Arabidopsis thaliana: one gene and its partners. The protein of the gene in region 2 purifies or fractionates together with the protein of the main gene of each other region. This does not show direct contact. Each region holds a gene or a part of one and is shown on either strand. Other genes may lie near its edges.

Region 1 (6,439 bases), on a different chromosome or scaffold from region 2:
CTGTGAGCCAGTCTCAAGCGGATCAGAAGACATCATGTCCCAATGGTCAAACACACACTGAGGAAAGGCTTGTCCTGAGGTTGCAGCCCTTAGCTGACCTGAGAAACCAAATGACTCGACCACAGGAAGGTAGGCTTTGATGTTGTAGAGAGGCGTTCCTGGCCTTTGCATTTCTTCAAACACATGTCCACGCTTCTGATTCAACACACTGTAGATTCCTCCTAAAGCTCCCTCAGGTGCTTGTATCTCGACCATGTAAACCGGCTCAAGAAGTCTAGGCTTGGCCGTGAGTTGTGATGCATAGATGGCTCTTCTTGCTGTTGAGATCATCTGACCACATCCTCTGTGGATTGCATCAGCATGGAGCACAACATCACACACCTCATAACAGACCCCTCTCATGTTTTCCTCTGCTAAAGGACCTTCCTTTGAAGCCCATTGGAACCCAGCAACCACTGAGTCCTTGATTTCATTCAAGTACTGCACTCCCTTACACATGTCAACCACCATGTTGGGCCCTGTGGTGTCAGGTCCAAACGCCCAGATTTTCTTGGCAAGATCCTTGTCCCACCCAAACTCTTCTGCAAGAATCTTGGATCGGATCTTGGGGTCATCAGATGGACCGATGCGGCCTTCATCAATGGCCTCTGCTAGACCATCCTCCATTGGTCTGGCTTCCATGTAAAGACGGTTGTGTTTGTTTGGGGACTTACTCATCACAGTCCGGCAAGACCTCTCAAAGACTGTCTCTCGTAACGAAACAACAGGATCTGACACTATGATATCCGCACCACCCATAAAATCTTGAAGATCCTTGACACAAATTTCAATGTGGAGTTCTCCAGCACCTGCAACAATGTGCTCACCAGACTCTTCCATTGTGCATAGAACCATAGGGTCAGACTTGGCCAGCCTCTTAAGACCTTCTACAAGCTTGGGAAGGTCAGACGCTAGCTTGCATTTCACAGCAACACGAACAACGGGAGAGACAGAAAACTTCATGGCACGAAGCGGGTGTGCGTCCACTTCCTTCTAATTCGTCAAGGTACCATTCTTGGTGATGAACTGATCCAGCCCAACCATAGCAACAGTATTACCACAAGGAACATCCTCCACTGTCTCTTGTTTCTTACCCATCCAAATGACAGTCCTCTGCACACTTTTGACATACAGATCTTTCTTTTCACCAGGGACATAGTTAGGACCCATGATCCTGACTTTCATACCAGTAGAAACCGTACCAGAAAAGACACGACCGAAGGCAAAGAACCTGCCCTTGTCAGATGCGGGAATCATCTTAGAGACGTAGAGCATCAAAGGACCGTCTGGATCACAGTTTCTGATAGCTGCAGCATACTTATCATCAAGGGGACCTTCATACAAGTTCTCAACACGGTACCTCTGCGCAGTGTAGGGTGATGGTAAGTGAAAGATCATCATTTCAAGAAGAGCGGTACTCGCAGGAAGCCATGCCTGCATGACACGCTTCATCAAAGGTTTACCCATCAACTCTTTCTCATCGGGCTTCATCTGAATACCAAGCTTCTCTAACATCGGCCACAGCTTATCCTTCTGATCATTCATACAAGTGTTGATCATTATCTTAATGGGTTCATAACAGAACTGAACAAACCCACGCTTGCAGGTCGGGGAGCCAGTTTTTGGTCGTCCATTTTCTGGTTGCAGAATCAAAGAAGTTCTCACCCCACAGCCTCTCCATCATTTTAGATTCAGAGACACCAAACTTGGAAGCATACATCTTAGCAAAATTGGTGAGAGTGAAAGCCCATCCGTGGAGACCAGCAGAGAAAGCTACTGTCCCCTTTTCAGGGTAAACCTGAACATCACCGAGGAGAGGATCCTCATGCGTGGCCATGATGACATTAGCATTCTCAATGACCCTCTGGAAATTCTGATACGCCTCCTCACCATCAACCTTAAGCTCAAGGAAACACCTGTCCATCTTGTTGACAGTCAAAACAGGCCTAATCCTTTCACCAAGAGATTGCCTGAGCACAGTCTCAGTCTGCACACAAACACCTTCAATGCAGTCAACAACCACAAGAGCACCATCAGTGATACGGAGAGCAGCTGTGACCTCTGAAGAAAAGTCAACGTGTCCAGGAGAGTCAATGAGGTTGATCAGGTACTCATTGCCATCTCTAGCTCCGGTGAAACTCTTCAGAGACGCATCAGTCATCTCATAGTAGAGAGAGATACCAGTGGACTTGATGGTGATACCACGTTCTGCCTCATCAGCACGAGTATCAGTCATACGCACATCACCCGCAGTTTCTTGAGCAATGATACCAGCAGCAGCAACAAGTGAATCCGTAAGTGTAGATTTCCCTATCATTAAAAGATCACAAAACTTTTATTTAGTATCAAGTTTGATAGAAAAAACACATGCTTAGCAAACATATGTATAAAAGAGCAAATATTTCATCAACAAAAAAGAAACAGAACTATATAAATAAAAGATATATAAAATAAAATCGTTTTTTTATGTTATGTTATACTTTAACATCAATAAGCCATAAAAACAGAGTGATATGAGATTCATATACAACGAACAATTTTTAAAGAGATAAATACCATGATCGACATGGGCGATGACAGACATGTTACGGATGTTGTGTTTACGATCCGTAATTTTCCGTTGCTCTTCAACTGTAAACTTCACCTGCAAGATTTTTTAACAAAAACGTGTTAAACAAAACACAAGGCAGATCACTACACAAAAAATAAATGAATAGTACTCTGAAAGAAAAGAAAAAAAGCTTACCATCTTGACTTGCTTTTTTCCTCACGCCTACAAAATTCTCTGCAGAGAAAGAAGAGACAGTAAGAAAATTATCGGAAAATAATACTAGAATTCATAGATCAGCAGTAGAGAGAAGAAGAGAGAATCAACAATCTGTAAAAAATTAATAAATGGGAAAAGAAGAAGAAGAAGAGGGAGCGAAGGTAAACTAAAATCTTAACCAACCTGGAGCGAGTACGGGTGCAGCCTTGGACGTGAAAAGATGAGCAGAAGCGTTACTCTCTGTATATTATAAGAAAGTGCCTTTGCCTTCTGATTTTAATATTTAGGGTTTCACACAGAGAATCTCTGTCGGGTTTTATTTTGTCTTAAGGGCCTAAATGGGCTCACTTATTTTAAATTACTCATTAATCTGAAATCCTATTTTTTTTAAAAAAATTAGGGGGTATTATTGGTTTACGATTTATATAAATTTTTAGCGATTTAATGTTATAAAAAATCTTGTGTAATTAAATTAAGATTTTATAAGATTCTGTTAACAGTTAGTGTTATTAGATTTTGATTTATACAAAATAATCTAAAGTCTTCATAAATTTTGAGTTATTAGATTCATAATTTAATAAAGTCATTAAAAATTGATGTTATTAAACTAAAACAAATGAATCTATGATTCTTAATGATTTTAATTATGGTGTTATTGGTTTATGATTTTATACATTTTTTTTTACAAACTAAAATCATGAAAAGTATCAAGAAAAAATAAAGATTGTAAATCATGACCCTGATATTTTAGTTTAATAAAAAAAGACAAAAAGTTAGGATTTTTTTTGTCTTTAGGGCCTAAATAGGCTCACTTATTTTAAATTACTCATTAATCTCAAATCCTATTAAAACAAAAAAATGGAACTTTCACATAAAGATTTCACTTTTCAAAACCAAAACCATAAAAGGAAGTGGAGAAACAGAAACCCTGTTTACTTTACTTGTTGTCAAGAAGAGAAAGCATACCTCTGATCGAATTGGGTTCTCTCATTGACACTAGTTTGTAATTGCGACTGTAATATGAAGGGTGGAATCGAAGCCTGAAACAGATGAGAGAAGAGGCAGGAGGTTTATACCAGTACACAAAAGGGCGTCAAAGGTTTAAGTAAACAAACTGTTCTAAAAGGAACTGCTCATGTGCCGAACTTCCAGGTTTTAGAAAGTAAACTTGAAACAGATGCCAGGAAATTCATACCATAAAGAGTCTTCGTTTGTTCAATAAACCGTTTCCGCTGCAATAAAACCAGAAGAAGCATTGTGACCAATTAAAGCAAAGAGACATGGATCTAAATGAGACTCTAACAAAGCTGCAAAAGGAAAAAACAAAGGTCATCAGACACGGAATAGCCAAATGCAGCAGAATAAGAACCCAACTTACAAAGTACAAGACGGAAATTACTACACAATCAATCACACGTACATAGTTGGCTACTGGATAACCAGTGGAATCAGTCAGTAAAATGATATCAGACTACTCGATTGCATGATTTGAAGTATAAAGCTTAACCTATCTACAATTTTCACGCCAATTCCAACTGTTTATTGAACCATATCCTAGTCATGTCTCGGGAACACCCAAAACCTCTGCAGTTTAATTCGATATATACTGACTCGATTGTAAACTGAGCTAATCGTCTCTTAAATTGACGAATTTACGAAATCTGGAGATAAAAGGAACATGAACAATCGTATTCATCATCCAAACTACAAACAGAATCTCGGCTCTTCGCTCTCAGAATTCGAAATTGGCAAGTAACTCTGCTTTCTCTCCAATGGTTCTCTCCAATATTTCTCTCATCCGTGACAAGACAAGAAGTTCCATCGTTTCATCTCCTCCACCTAATGGGCTTTGTTTCCTTTGTGGGCTTCTTAATGTTTTTTTAAACGCTTTTGTTACTTTATTAAAGATAACAAGACCACAAGTCCACTATTCGTCTAACCGAAAAACATAAAATAAGAGGGCTAATAAAACAAAATATGCAAATAGTTCCCGAGATTAAATTGACATTAATACATACTATATACGTGTGGATCAACCTGAGAATTCAAACAGGTGCATATTCATATACACACGATCCATGTATACAGTAGAGATCTGATGATACAACACGTCCAAGCTAGTAATATGTAATATGTATACATATTAGTTGTTAATTATTCTAGAGATCTAACTAAGAAAAGAAGGTGGGAAAGCAAATTCCACAACCGATCGAAGCTCGTCCGGCCAAGTCTCGTAGGTTTCATGGTGAATGTTATCGTTGGAGAAATGTTGAAACGAATCAACGTGTGTGGTGTCCATGAGAATTGGCTGGTTTTGATGTTGATAAGGCGTTTGCTGAAGCTGGAAAACGCTTCTCTCGTAGTTCCCTTTGCCTTCCCTAACGTTCATCACGTTGGTACTACTACTACTTTCATTGTCCCCAAAATTTATATAAGCTTCTTGGTAATTAGATTGTTGCTGCTTCACACGTTTGCCATTTGCTAATTCTCTCCAGTCCGGAGTGTATTTTCGACTAGACACAGTTCTCTTAAATATCCGGCATAACGTCCATACTTCCTGCAATTATATAGTTAATAAGAACCATCCATGAGCATTCTTTCTCAAACCCTATGTATTTTTGCCATGTGAAGCGTTTATAGTGGCCAACCATGCATGATCATGATCAAGAGATAGCAAACTTACCGCGTGTAGCAAGGAAGTTGGAGTAGGGTTAGAGTGTGTAGGGCCACCGGGGATTGTGTCATTGGCTGTAGGGAGACGAAACTCGTGCATCATCCAATCCGTCTTGTTTCCTTTCCCGGCGCTTCCTAGGTAATAAACGAGTGTCTTCTTTAGACCGATCACGGCTTTGTTGGATCCATCGGAATAGACAGGCTTGTCTATCCCTGTGGCTTTCCAGAAACCGGAACCAGTCACTCGGTTCGGTCTTATGCTGTTTCTGTATTTCCTTCCTCTCTTACAAAAGAAGTAGCTCTCCTTCTCTGTATTCCTCGACCCTTCAAACAAAAATTATGTTTGATCATCAGTTTATAACAATAATTTATGTGTTAATTTTACTTCACAAACATGCATACACGACTTTACTTTTGTTTTTCTCATAAAAGTTAGACCTAATTTTTTTTCTATTTGTGTTTGCATGGTTTGGAGTGCAAAAAACAGAAAAAAGCAAGAGTGAGTAAAACAAACTTACTTGGAAGATCCCACGGATCAAATTTATAGATATCAATTTGGCTGACGATCTCATCAATCTTGCTCGTTTTTTTGAGAAGCACTTTTTTAGAGAGATAATACCCTACAAGCTCCTCATCCGTCGGATGAAACCTAAACCCTGGAAGCTTTAACGCATCCTCATCTTCTGATTCTCTTGTGTTGTCCCGTGGTTCTATCATCTTCTCCATGGCTTTGGTTTCTATTTCTTCCTTTTTGCTCTTTGGACTCACATATAAGAATCTTCTTGAGATTTATATAAAGAGAGTTTGTGTCGTGTGTCTATCTATCATAAGATCGATTTGGTCAAGTCATTTCTGTTGACTTAGTGATCCTTTGTAATCAATGATATATCCGACCCGGTAAAAGTCTTTTGGGCTTGAGTTTTTAGAACGAGTCTTTTCGCATCTATACGTGGACCCAAT
Region 2 (6,439 bases):
AGATCTGTCTTGTGGAAAGAAAAACTTATTGCTAATTTAGGTTGACTCAGATTATAACTGTAGTTGAGATGAGACAGTCAATGGAGACAGATCTATAACAAATTGATGTTTTGGCAAATAAAGGTATGATATATAATGTAGTTATATGATAATAAAAAAAAGCTATGATATATCCTATATATATAATGCATGTTGATGTTTAAATAAAAGAAAGCTATATATGTTTTAGTTTCTTTGTGGGTATTAAAACTCAGGCATGAGTCCCTATATGGGTCGATCGTGGGAAAAAAAAAAAAAAAGAGAGTCCCTATATGGCATGAAAGTAACGTTAGAAACGAAGGTACGAGTCGTGTCTTCACTAGATTCATTCTAATAAAGTAAGGAAGTTGTATTCATAAATAAAGAATAGATATCTATTGATGTTACGTCCCTCACTAAGGCTTGTGAGACAAAGTAGTGGGCTCAAATATCTTAATTACCAACGTGAATCGAATTTATATAGATCATCGAAGAAAGGTCAATTTACAAACAAAGAGAAACTTCAAATTAAGGCCCTATATAAATAGTTAGTTGGGGACGAACCACAGTAGGATCAGGGACTATATCAGTCTCTATCTTTCTCTCTCTCTTCTGATTGTCCGAGTTGTGTCTGCTAAGAAGAGAGAGAAACTTAAAACCCTAAATTTCAAATCAGAAAATATAGAGTTTGAAGGAAACTAAAAGATGGTACATTCGAGGAAGTTCCGAGGTGTCCGCCAGCGACAATGGGGTTCTTGGGTCTCTGAGATTCGCCATCCTCTATTGTAAGTAATTGGCTCTCTATATACATATATGATCTCCATTGTTTACTGTTTTCCTGCTTAGGATTACATATTATATAATGTTGTAGTTGCTTTTCTCATATGAAGCTACTATCTTTATTCTTTAGTATATTTCATCAAAACTTTATTTGTATATTAAAACAAACGCTCTACTATTGCTTAACAATCTACAAAATATTAAAAGGAATTAAAAGTTAAAACCAACCATGCATGCTAATCAAAGTTAAGTTATCGACTGATTTTCATCTACTTGATTCTTTGATTATTTTTGTAAATTAAATGTGGTAATTTCTAAGGTTAGTTTGGATTTCAGCTCAAAACTTAATTGAAATGTTTACTTGGATTTTGTAACTAATATAAAAATTACTAAAATCCTTTTTTAACGTGAATGTTATATGATACCAAAACGTTAAAAATTATATTTCAAAATTCATATCATCATATGTAGTGTATTTAGTATTTACACGTGTGTGTGATATATTAATCAGGAAGAGAAGAGTGTGGCTTGGAACTTTCGAAACGGCAGAAGCGGCTGCAAGAGCATACGACCAAGCGGCTCTTCTAATGAACGGCCAAAACGCTAAGACCAATTTCCCTGTCGTAAAATCAGAGGAAGGCTCCGATCACGTTAAAGATGTTAACTCTCCGTTGATGTCACCAAAGTCATTATCTGAGCTTTTGAACGCTAAGCTAAGGAAGAGCTGCAAAGACCTAACGCCTTCTTTGACGTGTCTCCGTCTTGATACTGACAGTTCCCACATTGGAGTTTGGCAGAAACGGGCCGGGTCGAAAACAAGTCCGACTTGGGTCATGCGCCTCGAACTTGGGAACGTAGTCAACGAAAGTGCGGTTGACTTAGGGTTGACTACGATGAACAAACAAAACGTTGAGAAAGAAGAAGAAGAAGAAGAAGCTATTATTAGTGATGAGGATCAGTTAGCTATGGAGATGATCGAGGAGTTGCTGAATTGGAGTTGACTTTTGACTTTAACTTGTTGCAAGTCCACAAGGGGTAAGGGTTTTCATTGTTTTCCGGTTTTTAATATTTTTAAAAAGTTTATTATGTGATGGATTTCCTTTATTTATCGATTATACATGTAAGAAAATTGTCAAAAATACATGTAAAAAAATGTAATATATACAGATTTGTATTTTTTTGTGTGATGAAAGTATACATGCTTGTTGTATTGATTGATATAAAAGATTGTTCGATTTAAGTATTCTCTTGTTTTAATTAATGGGCCTACAATTTTGTTGGTCCTTCAAACACAAACATATATACATATACATTTTTGCAGCCACTTTGTAAAATAAACCTCAAGTTGAGACTTATTTACAGTGGCTGCCACTGGCATTTAATAATTATTTTTGATAATTAGAAAGTAAATCTTCGAATTAAATATTTGACATTTAACTATATTCCCAAAATCTCTCTACATTAACTACACGATTAGTTACTAAAATAAAACTTCCAAAATATTTAACATCATTTAAAAATTACAAAATTATCATTTTTGATATTGCTTTTTTGCATGACTATAACAATTCGATTATACGCATCAACCCACAGAGATATTTGATAGCAATTAATTATTACAAAATTACAAAATATTTAGACAATGATTCATAAACATATCATAAATAAGATCAATATTAATAAAATAAATAGTTTTTTTTACGGGACGGATTGGCGGGACGAGTTTAGCAGGACGTAACTTAATAACAATTGTAAACTATAAAATAAAAATATTTTATAGATAGATACAATTTGCAAACTTTTATATATACTAACTTAAAAAAAAAATATTGTCCCCTGCGGTATAAGACGGGTTAAAAATCTAGTTGTTATTATTAAAGGAAATAAAATATCCTCATAAAACAATTTGTTGTAATCTATCTTTGGGCTAATGTTCTTATCCTACAAGACGAACCCTGACCGTATTCGTCGTAGAAAAAAAATTGCTTCGATCCCATCATTGAGTTCAATAATCGGCGCACAAAGGCCGATTCATAAAAACTCTAGGCCCATTAAAGTAAAGCCCATTCTCAACCCTATCCAGTCTCCCTGTATATATATATTTACGACACCAACCCAGCGTTGATATTTAATTTTCTTCAGTCAGAGATTTCGAAACCCTAGTCGATTTCGAGATCCAACTAACTCTGCTCCTTATCTCAGGTAAAATTCTCGCTCGAGAACTCAATTGCTTATCCAAAGTTCCAACTGAAGATGCTTTCCTACTGAATCTTAGGTTAATGTTTTGGATTTGGAATCTTACCCGAAATTTCTCTGCAGCTTGTTGAATTTGCGAAGTATGGGAGACGCTAGAGACAACGAAGCCTACGAGGAGGAGCTCTTGGACTATGAAGAAGAAGACGAGAAGGTCCCAGATTCTGGAAACAAAGTTAACGGCGAAGCTGTGAAAAAGTGAGTTTTATGGTTTCCTCGATATGTTTCATGTATACTACTGTGTGTTTAAATTTGTCGATTCTTAGATTACTACTTGATAACAAGTAGCAGTATGTGTTTAATTAGTTGCTTAACATATAACAATTGACTGAGTTCTTCATTGCTATAATTCCTGAAACCCACCCAATATTAGACTGTCGTGTGTTTCTCATATTGTATTTTCTCTTTGTGACAGAGGGTACGTGGGAATACACAGTTCTGGATTCAGAGACTTCCTTTTGAAACCGGAGCTTCTCAGAGCTATTGTTGACTCAGGATTTGAACATCCATCTGAAGGTAATTACCAATAAAAATTCAATTTTGTTGCCTTTCACCATTCTATTACTGAATCTGAATGATATGGTAGAATTTACAGAAGTTTCTTCTCCATAAGCTTTTTAGGTGTCCGGAGACTTTTAATTATATGTACTTCGTCTAGTTTTGAGAAGATATGTTGGTTTAAGATATTTTACTTTATCTGGGTCCCTTGCTTATCACCTAACTAAGTCCAAAATCCAAAAGTTTTGTGTTGATTATAAGGTTAAATTCTTCTTTAGTTTCCTGTAATAATTTTTTTTAGTTTTCTGTCTATTAACGTTTCACTGATTACTTTTTCCAGGTAATAAACGCTAATTTCGATCTATTGATTTGGAGTGAGCTTAACATGTGCTAAAGCCACCAATTTAAAAGATATGGAGGTTATCATCTACTTATAAAGGGTTTCTTCGGTGCTATTTTCTTTGGTTCTCCACCAGTGCAACACGAATGTATCCCTCAAGCTATCTTGGGTATGGATGTTATCTGCCAAGCAAAGTCTGGTATGGGGAAGACTGCTGTGTTTGTCCTGTCTACTCTACAACAGATTGAACCATCTCCTGGCCAGGTTTCTGCACTTGTCTTGTGCCATACAAGAGAGCTAGCTTACCAGGTATGACCTTCTTGTTTCACTCAGGTTCTTGGCTTATAGTCGTGTTTTACGTCTTCAAGTTCTCTAATGCTTACTATGCCTTGATGCTGAAAATTACTTGCAGATCTGCAATGAGTTTGTGCGATTCAGTACCTATCTGCCTGATACAAAAGTTTCGGTGTTCTATGGTGGAGTCAACATTAAAATTCACAAAGACTTGCTGAAGAATGAATGTCCTCACATTGTTGTTGGTACCCCTGGTCGAGTGCTTGCACTTGCCAGGGAGAAAGATCTCTCTTTGAAGAATGTGAGGCATTTTATTCTTGATGAGTGTGATAAAATGCTCGAGTCACTTGGTATGCTGATTTCTGACATCATTATTACATCGATCCCTGAATAATTTTATGTTTTAACACTTCAACTTGTCTTTACCAGACATGCGAAGGGATGTGCAGGAGATTTTCAAGATGACTCCTCATGACAAACAAGTAATGATGTTCTCAGCAACGCTCAGCAAAGAGATACGCCCAGTCTGCAAGAAGTTTATGCAAGATGTAATGTTCCATGGCCAATTCTCTCTCCCTTTGCAAGTCTTCTAGTTTTCATCTATTTTTAGCCTTCTATGGGTGATCATAGCATTATTTGAGCATCTTCTGCGGTTCTGCCCTTGAAAAGCTGAAACTGATCTCTGGATGGGTCTCAATCCAATAATGCTTTGGGTAGTTTCTAGAGAACGAGACTGTGAGTGTGAGACTCTTTAGCTTTGGTATGGTTTCTATCGGTGATCATAGCATTATTTGAGCATCTTCTGTTGTTCTGCCCTGGAAAAGTTGCAACTGATCTCTGGAAGGATCTCAACCTAATAATGCTTTGGGTAGTTTGTAGGGGTTGAGAACTCTGAGTGGAGACTCTGTAGCTTTGGTATGATTGAGTGACCGTTGCACAACAGGATTTCCTTTCATCTTAACCTTTTATTCAGTTTCAATTTCTTTGAAAATCTAGCAGTGGTGGGTGGGTTTTGGGTCGGGGTACTGTGTTTTCCCAAGGTTTCATCGTGCTCGTATGGGTCTCAATGTTCCGAGCAATATTGATGTTTCATAGCAAAACTCACATCTTTGAAGAGAAAAGGTGGACGAGGATCTCAGTTCAGGGGATCTCCATCCATCTTCACTTTTGTAGTGTAAATCATTTCCTGAGGAAAGCTAGCTAATACTTCTTACCTGGTATCTGTTCCTTTCAGCCAATGGAAATATATGTTGATGATGAAGCCAAGTTGACTCTTCATGGACTTGTCCAGGTACGTTTAACTGGTTTGAGGTCTTCGTATTCAATGTAAATATATGTTGTTGTTTGATACTTAAGTGACCTTTTTTCTGTTCTACTGTAACAGCACTACATCAAACTGAGCGAGATGGAGAAAAATCGCAAGTTGAATGACCTTCTTGATGCGTTGGACTTCAATCAAGTTGTCATTTTTGTGAAGAGCGTGAGCAGGGCTGCGGAGCTGAACAAGTTACTGGTGGAATGCAATTTCCCCTCAATATGCATACACTCTGGCATGTCTCAAGAAGAGAGGTTTGTACATTCTCTTAAAAATTCAATGTTTCTGAAGGACCCTACCTGCTCTTAAAGCCCTCATGGAGAGTCCAATTCTTAAGCCTAATACGATATGTTATGTAGGTTGACTCGATACAAAAGTTTCAAGGAAGGGCACAAGAGGATCCTTGTGGCGACTGACTTGGTAGGAAGAGGGATTGACATAGAGCGTGTCAACATTGTTATCAACTATGACATGCCAGATTCTGCGGATACCTATCTTCATAGGGTAAGTATATAATCCTGAGATTTATTATTTGATCGTTGATGAAAGGGCTCTTGTAACTTTACCGTTTTGCTGTGTGTATGGGATAGGTTGGGAGAGCTGGTAGATTTGGAACCAAGGGTCTTGCAATCACATTTGTTGCATCTGCTTCAGATTCAGAGGTCCTTAATCAGGTATGGTGTTTGATCTTTTAATAAATTCCATGGAAAAAGTCCCCATGATATTGAGTTGGGTATTTAGTAAAGTGGCAAGTATAAATGTTGGACAGGTTCAAGAGAGGTTTGAGGTCGATATAAAGGAGCTTCCTGAGCAGATTGATACATCGACTTACAGTAAGTTTTAAATCCCATTACTAAATGTGAAAAAGGCTGGTTTTGTCTGGTATTGATATTAACTTAGTTTCTTCTTCGTATTCTTTGCTCAGTGCCGTCTTAAACAAG
Region 3 (6,439 bases), on a different chromosome or scaffold from region 2:
GAGGTTGCTGCCCTAAGCTGACTTGAGAATCCGAAAGACTCCACAACAGGCAGGTATGCCTTGATGTTGTACAAGGGAGTTCCTGGCCTCTGCATCTCCTCGAACACGTGTCCACGCTTCTGATTCAGCACACTGTAGATTCCTCCAAGAGCTCCCTCTGGTGCCTGGATCTCAACCATGTAAACCGGCTCCAAAAGTCTGGGCTTAGCTGTGATCTGGGAAGCGTATATGACCCTTCTGGCTGTGGGGATAACCTGACCACCTCCTCTGTGGATGGCATCAGAGTGAAGCACCACATCACATACCTCAAAACAGATACCTCTCATGTTCTCTTCAGCAAGAGGACCTTCCTTGGACGCCCACTGGAAACCAGCAACAACTGAATCCTTGATTTCGTTAAGGTACTGAACTCCCTTACACATATCGACAACCATGTTAGGCCCTGTGGTTTCAGGTCCAAAAGCCCAGATCTTCTTTGCAAGATCCTTGTCCCATCCAAACTCCTCAGCCAAGATCTTGGATCTGATCTTAGGGTCATCCCTTGGGCCAATACGTCCATCATCAATAGCCTCAGCTAGACCTTCCTCCATGGGTCTTGCTTCCATGTACAGACGGTTATGCTTGTTAGGAGACTTACTCATAACTGTGCGAGTAGATCTATCACAAACTGTCTCACGGAAGGAGACCACAGGGTCTGACTTGATAATTTCAGCACCACCCATGAAATCATCCTGAAGATCCTTAAGACAAATCTCAAGATGGAGTTCTCCTGCACCAGCAACAATGTGCTCACCTGATTCCTCCATTGTACACACAACCATAGGATCAGACTTGGCCAACCTCTTGAGACCCTCAACCAACTTGGGAAGGTCAGACGCAACCTTACACTGAACAGCAACACGAACAACAGGAGACACAGAAAACTTCATAGCACGAATGGGGTGAGCATCAACTTCCTTCTCATTAGTCAATGTAGCATTCTTGGTGATGAACTGATCCAGCCCAACCATAGCAACAGTGTTACCACAAGGGACATCCTCCACTGTCTCTTGCCTCTTACCCATCCAAATGACAGTCCTCTGAACACTCTTAGTGTACAGATCCTTCTTCTCACCAGGGATATAGTTGGGACCCATGATTCTGACCTTCATACCAGTAGAAACCTTACCAGCAAAGACACGACCGAAGGCAAAGAATCTACCCTTGTCAGAGGCTGGAATCATCTTGGATACGTAGAGCATGAGAGGTCCATTGGGGTCACAGTTCCTGATGGCATTTGCATACTGATCATCAAGAGGACCTTCATACAGATTCTCAACACGGTACCTCTGGGCAGTGTGGGGAGATGGCAAATGAAAGATCATCATCTCAAGTAGTGCAGTACTTGCAGGGAGCCAAGTCTGCATAACACGCTTCATTAGAGGTTTACCCATAAGCTCCTTCTCATCATTCTTCATTGAGACACCAAGCTTCGCCAACATAGGCCACAACTTATCCTTCTGGTCATTCATGCAAGTAGCAATAATTTGCTTGATGGGTTCATAGCAGAACTGAACAAACCCACGCTTGCAGGTCGGGGAACCAGTGTTTTTGCCACTCCACTTCCTGGTGGCAGGGTCAAAGAAATTCTCACCCCAGAGCCTCTCCATCATCTTAGATTCAACAACACCGAACTTGGAAGCATACATCTTGGCGAAGTTGGTCAGTGTAAACGCCCATCCATGGAGACCAGCAGAAAACGCCACAGTTCCCTTCTCTGGGTAAACCTGAACATCACCAAGGAGAGGATCCTCGTATGTAGCCATGATGACATTAGCGTTCTCAATAACCCTCGAGAAAGTCTGGTAAGCCTCCTCACCATCAACCTGAAGCTCAAGGAAACACCTGTCCATCTTGTTGACAGTCAAGACAGGTCGAATCCTCTCACCAAGAGCCTGACGTAGAACAGTCTCAGTCTGAACACACACACCCTCAATGCAGTCGACCACCACAAGAGCACCATCAGTAATACGGAGAGCAGCAGTAACCTCAGAAGAAAAGTCAACGTGCCCAGGTGAATCAATAAGATTGATGAGGTACTCGTTTCCGTCTCTGGCTCCAGTGAAACTCTTCAAGGATTCATCAGTCATCTCGTAGTAGAGAGAAATACCAGTGGACTTGATAGTGATACCACGTTCAGCCTCATCAGCTCTGGTATCAGTCATACGAACATCACCAGCAACCTCTTGGGCAATGATACCAGCAGCAGCAACCAAAGAATCAGTAAGAGTGGATTTCCCTGTTGATCATGAAATAAAGATGCATTAGTTTAAACTTTTTTAAACGTTCAGCAAACTCAGAAAACAGATAAGAGACGCTATTAATTTCAAAACAGACTATAAACATTAGTATATAAAGAGATGCATTAGATTCAGATTACAATTCGACCAGCAAATTCAGTAAACAAACAAGAGATCAAAACTGACAAGAATAGTACAAAAAAAGTGATGAAGATTATACCGTGGTCGACATGAGCAATAACAGACATATTACGGATGTTGTGTTTGTAGTCCATAATCCTTCGAAGCTCATCAGCTGTAAACTTCACCTGCAAGTTCATAAAATCGTTATATGCTTGTATCCACATAGTAATAATGTAAATAAATGTAAGAAAAACAAAAGTCTTACCATTTTGTCAAACTTTTGATTGTCACCTACAAAATCTCTGCAATATCATCACAAAAACATAAAGAATTAGCAAATTGAAATATTTTAATACTAAACAGACACTAACCATGGAGACTTTAGCTTAGCTTATACAGAATAAGAGAAACTGAGACCAACACAAAAACATGTACATCAAATGCATAGAGGTTAAATTTAACAAAGAACAAAAACACACAACGAACAAAATAAAACCTGCAAATCTATACATGATGATAAATATAAAATCAGCGGCGATGATCGGAGAATCACACTGAACCAGTTTTTGGATGATCGACTACTACATGGATAACAATATCAATCAAAACTGAAAACACAACAGACTTGTAAGAAAACTTTGACATATTCAGATTATTATCTACGAGGGATCTACCAAAACCAGATCGATGCACAACAAACGGTAAGAAACAACAGAACCATGGAAACAAAGTGCTATAAACATAGATCAACAGCAAGACTCCATCATCTAAACACCAAATCGTGACAAAATTCCTAAATCAAACCAAGGAAGATGAAATTGAATCGATGAAGAGAGGATCTACACAAGGGACTAACCTTAGAGAGAAAGATGAGAACGAGAGAAAGAAAAGAGGTGCAAGGAGGCAGGCGTCTAGCAGCCTAAAGCTTATTATATAGTAACCAAGGAAGATGCTCTGAGTATATCCCTTGTTTCTCGTTTAGGGTTTTCGCTCTCTTAATGGGCCTTAATGGGCCAATACTCATCGGGCCAATATCATTAATTCTGGTTAAGTGTCTATTGAGTTTTTTAATCTTCATGAGCCCATGCATCATCGATTTAATCTTCATAAGTACACACGCTCAATTCAATAATCGAAGTAACAAAGATACTAAATTAAATCACTTTCACTGTAAACCGAGACCTTATTATTACATATCATTTGTTCATCTGTTTAATTAAATCAACAAGGAATGAATGATGATACATTAATCTTGTTTCCGTTATCTATATATACATTTTTGGAGGGGATTTTTGAAGATAATGTTGAAGATTTGAGCCATAATTCAACAATTAATTCAAATGGGTGGGTTTTACCCGGTTTAACTCTGTTCGGATTCTGGATAACATGTTTAATTCTGTTCTGATCTTAGATAACATTAATTTTTGGAAAAGTTACCTAAAAACTAATAATTAAAAACGAAAATTAATGATTTAATTACCAAATTTAATATAAACAATATCTCTAAACTAACCATATTTCTTATTTACCTTAACTAATTTCCTAAAATATTTCTACCTAATTTAAACATAAATATATAATTCTTCTTTCAATTTTATTTGATCTTATACTTTATTTATTTTGAATTTATATAAAATATATATAATTAATAAAATATTATATTTTTTTCTGAATATGATGTAATTCTAATTTTTTTAAATGGACATATATTATTCAACCTATGAAGAAATAATATGTGTACAATGTCCCACATCGCTTAGAAAAATTGGACAATGGTTCAGACCCATATTATAAAAGGACCAAAATGATTCTGATTACGAATGAGCAGGAAGCTTGATTTATCAGGCGTCCAAAATTAAAATAGTTATCCGATTTTACTGGGATTTTTTATTTTAAAGAATTGAAACTTTAAAATGTCTCAAAAAATTATAAATATTATAACTTTATCAAAAGTTAAATATTATAATTTTAAATTTTTTTATAAAGTTTATCTTTAAAAAATGCTTTAAATATTTATAATTTTAAAACTTATAAAGTTTTAAGAATTATAAATTGAATTTTACAAGAAATTTAACATTATAAATATATAAAAAATTTATTAATACGAGACGATATATTACAGAAAAAATCTTAAATATAACAATCAAAATTCAATGATGAATTTTGGGTCGATATTGTATTTTTTTAAGTTCCAAATTTTATAATATTGAAATTTATAAGAAAATGACAAAATTATGTTTAATTTCACGTGACTGGGTTATATGGTAGGACGGGTTTGGGTGGATAATAATTACGATTTTAGAATGTCCCACATCGCTTAAAAAAATTGGACAATGGTCAAGAGCCATACTATAAAAAGGACCAAAATGATTTCGATTACGAATGAGCATGAAACTTGATTTATGAGGTGTCCAAAATTAAAATGGTTTGTTTACTAGGGTTATTTATTTTAAAAAATTGAAACTTTAAAAAGTTTAAAAAATTATAAATTAAATTTTACAAGAAATTTAAACAATATAAAAGATATTAATACGGGACGATATACTGCGAGAGAAATCTTAGATATAACACTCAAAATTCAATGATGAAGTTTGGGTCAATATTAATCTTTTTTGAAGTTTCTAATTTTATAAATATTTGAAATTTATAATAAAATGACAAATTTGTGTTTAATTTCACGGGACGGGGTTATATGGTGTGACGGGTTTGAGTGGATAATAACATGGGATAGTATGCTATGGAAAAAAACATATAATAACAATCATAATATAATTATATAATCTTAAACACTAAACAAAATTAACAATATTAAAAAAAAAAACTTAAAACTTTAATTTTTTTAAAACACATTTTGATTCTTTTATAAGAAATTTAAACATTATAAATATTTAAACATTATAAATATTTAAACATTATACTACGGGTGAAATTTTATAATTGACTGTTTGGGTTGATAAGAATTTGCGATAGAATTAGGAGTGAAATCCTAGAATGATAATTAAAATATAATTATACAATTAAATACTACCACGGGTGAAATCCTAGAATTGACGGGCTTGATTCGATATTAATATGGGATGGTGTACTACGGAATATTTTAGAATTGTCTGGTTTGGGTTGATAATAATTTGCGATAGAATTAGGAGTGAAATCATAGAATGACAATTAAAATATAATTATACAATTAAATACTACCACAGGTGAAATCATAGAATTGACGGGTTTGATTCGATATTAATATGGAATGGTGTACTACGGGTGAAATCCGAGAAACAACAATCAAAATACAATTATACAATATTAAACATTTAACAAAATAAACAAATACAACTTAAAACTTTAAAATTTGAGTTATAAAATTTCGTCTAGCGGTGAATTATACATTTAAATCAAACAATAGCATAAATTTATTAAATCATCCTAAAAAATATTCAATTATTTTTTATTTAATAAAAATATAGGTCCGCGGTATACCGCGGGTTAATATCTAATAAAGATATAAACTCTTAGTCTTAGCAAAAGAACTGGGACTTGCAAGAACAAAATTCCCTGATTCTCTTCTATGGTTAAAGAGGTTTTACAAATTTGAAATCAGTCATGACTAATTGGTCATGAAAAGAAAGCTTAGAAGTTGGTGAGTTTTTGTTTCAACGCCCACTTGTGAGAAGTCCCTTAAAGGATATGTAAAGATCATTGTTTTCCTTTCCAAATATTTCCTCTGCTTTCTGTAATGTTTCCTGGCGATAAAGATTAGATAAGACCATTTTAGGATTCAAACATTATACAAATTTCAGACTAAAAGAGTTGGTTAAGGACTATGTTATGGCTTATGAGGTTATTACCTCGCGGCCCTGCTTCCGGGCGTTAAGTTCCTTGATGTTAGCCAGGAATGCACTGAACTGTTCGTAAGACAAACGGCTCCTGAAAATTCAAAACAATTCCTTATCTATCTATCACTCATTCTCATATACTAGTTGCTGGCTCTAGGAACTTTAGAACTTATATATACCTGGCTTGTCTAAAGAACTCTTTCCCAT

Evidence for each region.
Region 1: the proteins of UAP56b (region 2) and AT3G12915 fractionate together in Arabidopsis thaliana (co-fractionation; one large-scale study listed by BioGRID). This does not show direct contact.
Region 3: the proteins of UAP56b (region 2) and LOS1 fractionate together in Arabidopsis thaliana (co-fractionation; one large-scale study listed by BioGRID). This does not show direct contact.

What each region holds. Positions count from the first base shown.
Region 1 is NC_003074.8:4,109,183-4,115,621, reverse strand, and holds the start of AT3G12915 (Ribosomal protein S5/Elongation factor G/III/V family protein), read right to left. Parts: upstream 2,789-6,439; coding exon 2,786-2,788; exon of another isoform or gene 2,684-2,785; coding exon 2,596-2,683; intron 2,466-2,595; exon of another isoform or gene 2,350-2,465; coding exon 1,634-2,349; coding exon of another isoform or gene 1,573-1,633; coding exon 1,050-1,572; coding exon of another isoform or gene 951-1,049; coding exon 1-950. Other genes in the region: AT3G12910 (NAC (No Apical Meristem) domain transcriptional regulator superfamily protein), read right to left, coding at 4,974-5,363, 5,490-5,803, 5,998-6,205.
Region 2 is NC_003076.8:3,564,253-3,570,691, forward strand, and holds the start of UAP56b (DEAD/DEAH box RNA helicase family protein), read left to right. Parts: upstream 1-2,922; 5' UTR 2,923-3,000; intron 3,001-3,117; 5' UTR 3,118-3,136; coding exon 3,137-3,249; intron 3,250-3,466; coding exon 3,467-3,567; intron 3,568-4,025; coding exon 4,026-4,198; intron 4,199-4,301; coding exon 4,302-4,533; intron 4,534-4,612; coding exon 4,613-4,731; intron 4,732-4,900; coding exon 4,901-4,943; intron 4,944-5,062; coding exon 5,063-5,098; intron 5,099-5,182; coding exon of another isoform or gene 5,183-5,223; coding exon 5,224-5,321; intron 5,322-5,417; coding exon 5,418-5,474; intron 5,475-5,567; coding exon 5,568-5,752; intron 5,753-5,857; coding exon 5,858-6,002; intron 6,003-6,088; coding exon 6,089-6,172; intron 6,173-6,267; coding exon 6,268-6,331; intron 6,332-6,423; coding exon 6,424-6,434; 3' UTR 6,435-6,439. Other genes in the region: SHN2 (Integrase-type DNA-binding superfamily protein), read left to right, coding at 724-803, 1,310-1,799. UniProt on the Arabidopsis thaliana protein: ATP-dependent RNA helicase involved in pre-mRNA splicing. Required for the export of mRNA out of the nucleus. In addition to ssRNA and dsRNA, binds dsDNA, but not ssDNA.
Region 3 is NC_003070.9:20,968,408-20,974,846, forward strand, and holds the start of LOS1 (Ribosomal protein S5/Elongation factor G/III/V family protein), read right to left. Parts: upstream 3,336-6,439; 5' UTR 3,259-3,335; exon of another isoform or gene 2,705-3,258; 5' UTR 2,671-2,704; coding exon 2,668-2,670; intron 2,588-2,667; coding exon 2,500-2,587; intron 2,279-2,499; coding exon 1-2,278. Other genes in the region: AT1G56080 (interactor of constitutive active ROPs protein), read right to left, coding at 6,050-6,139, 6,245-6,323, 6,412-6,439. UniProt on the Arabidopsis thaliana protein: Catalyzes the GTP-dependent ribosomal translocation step during translation elongation.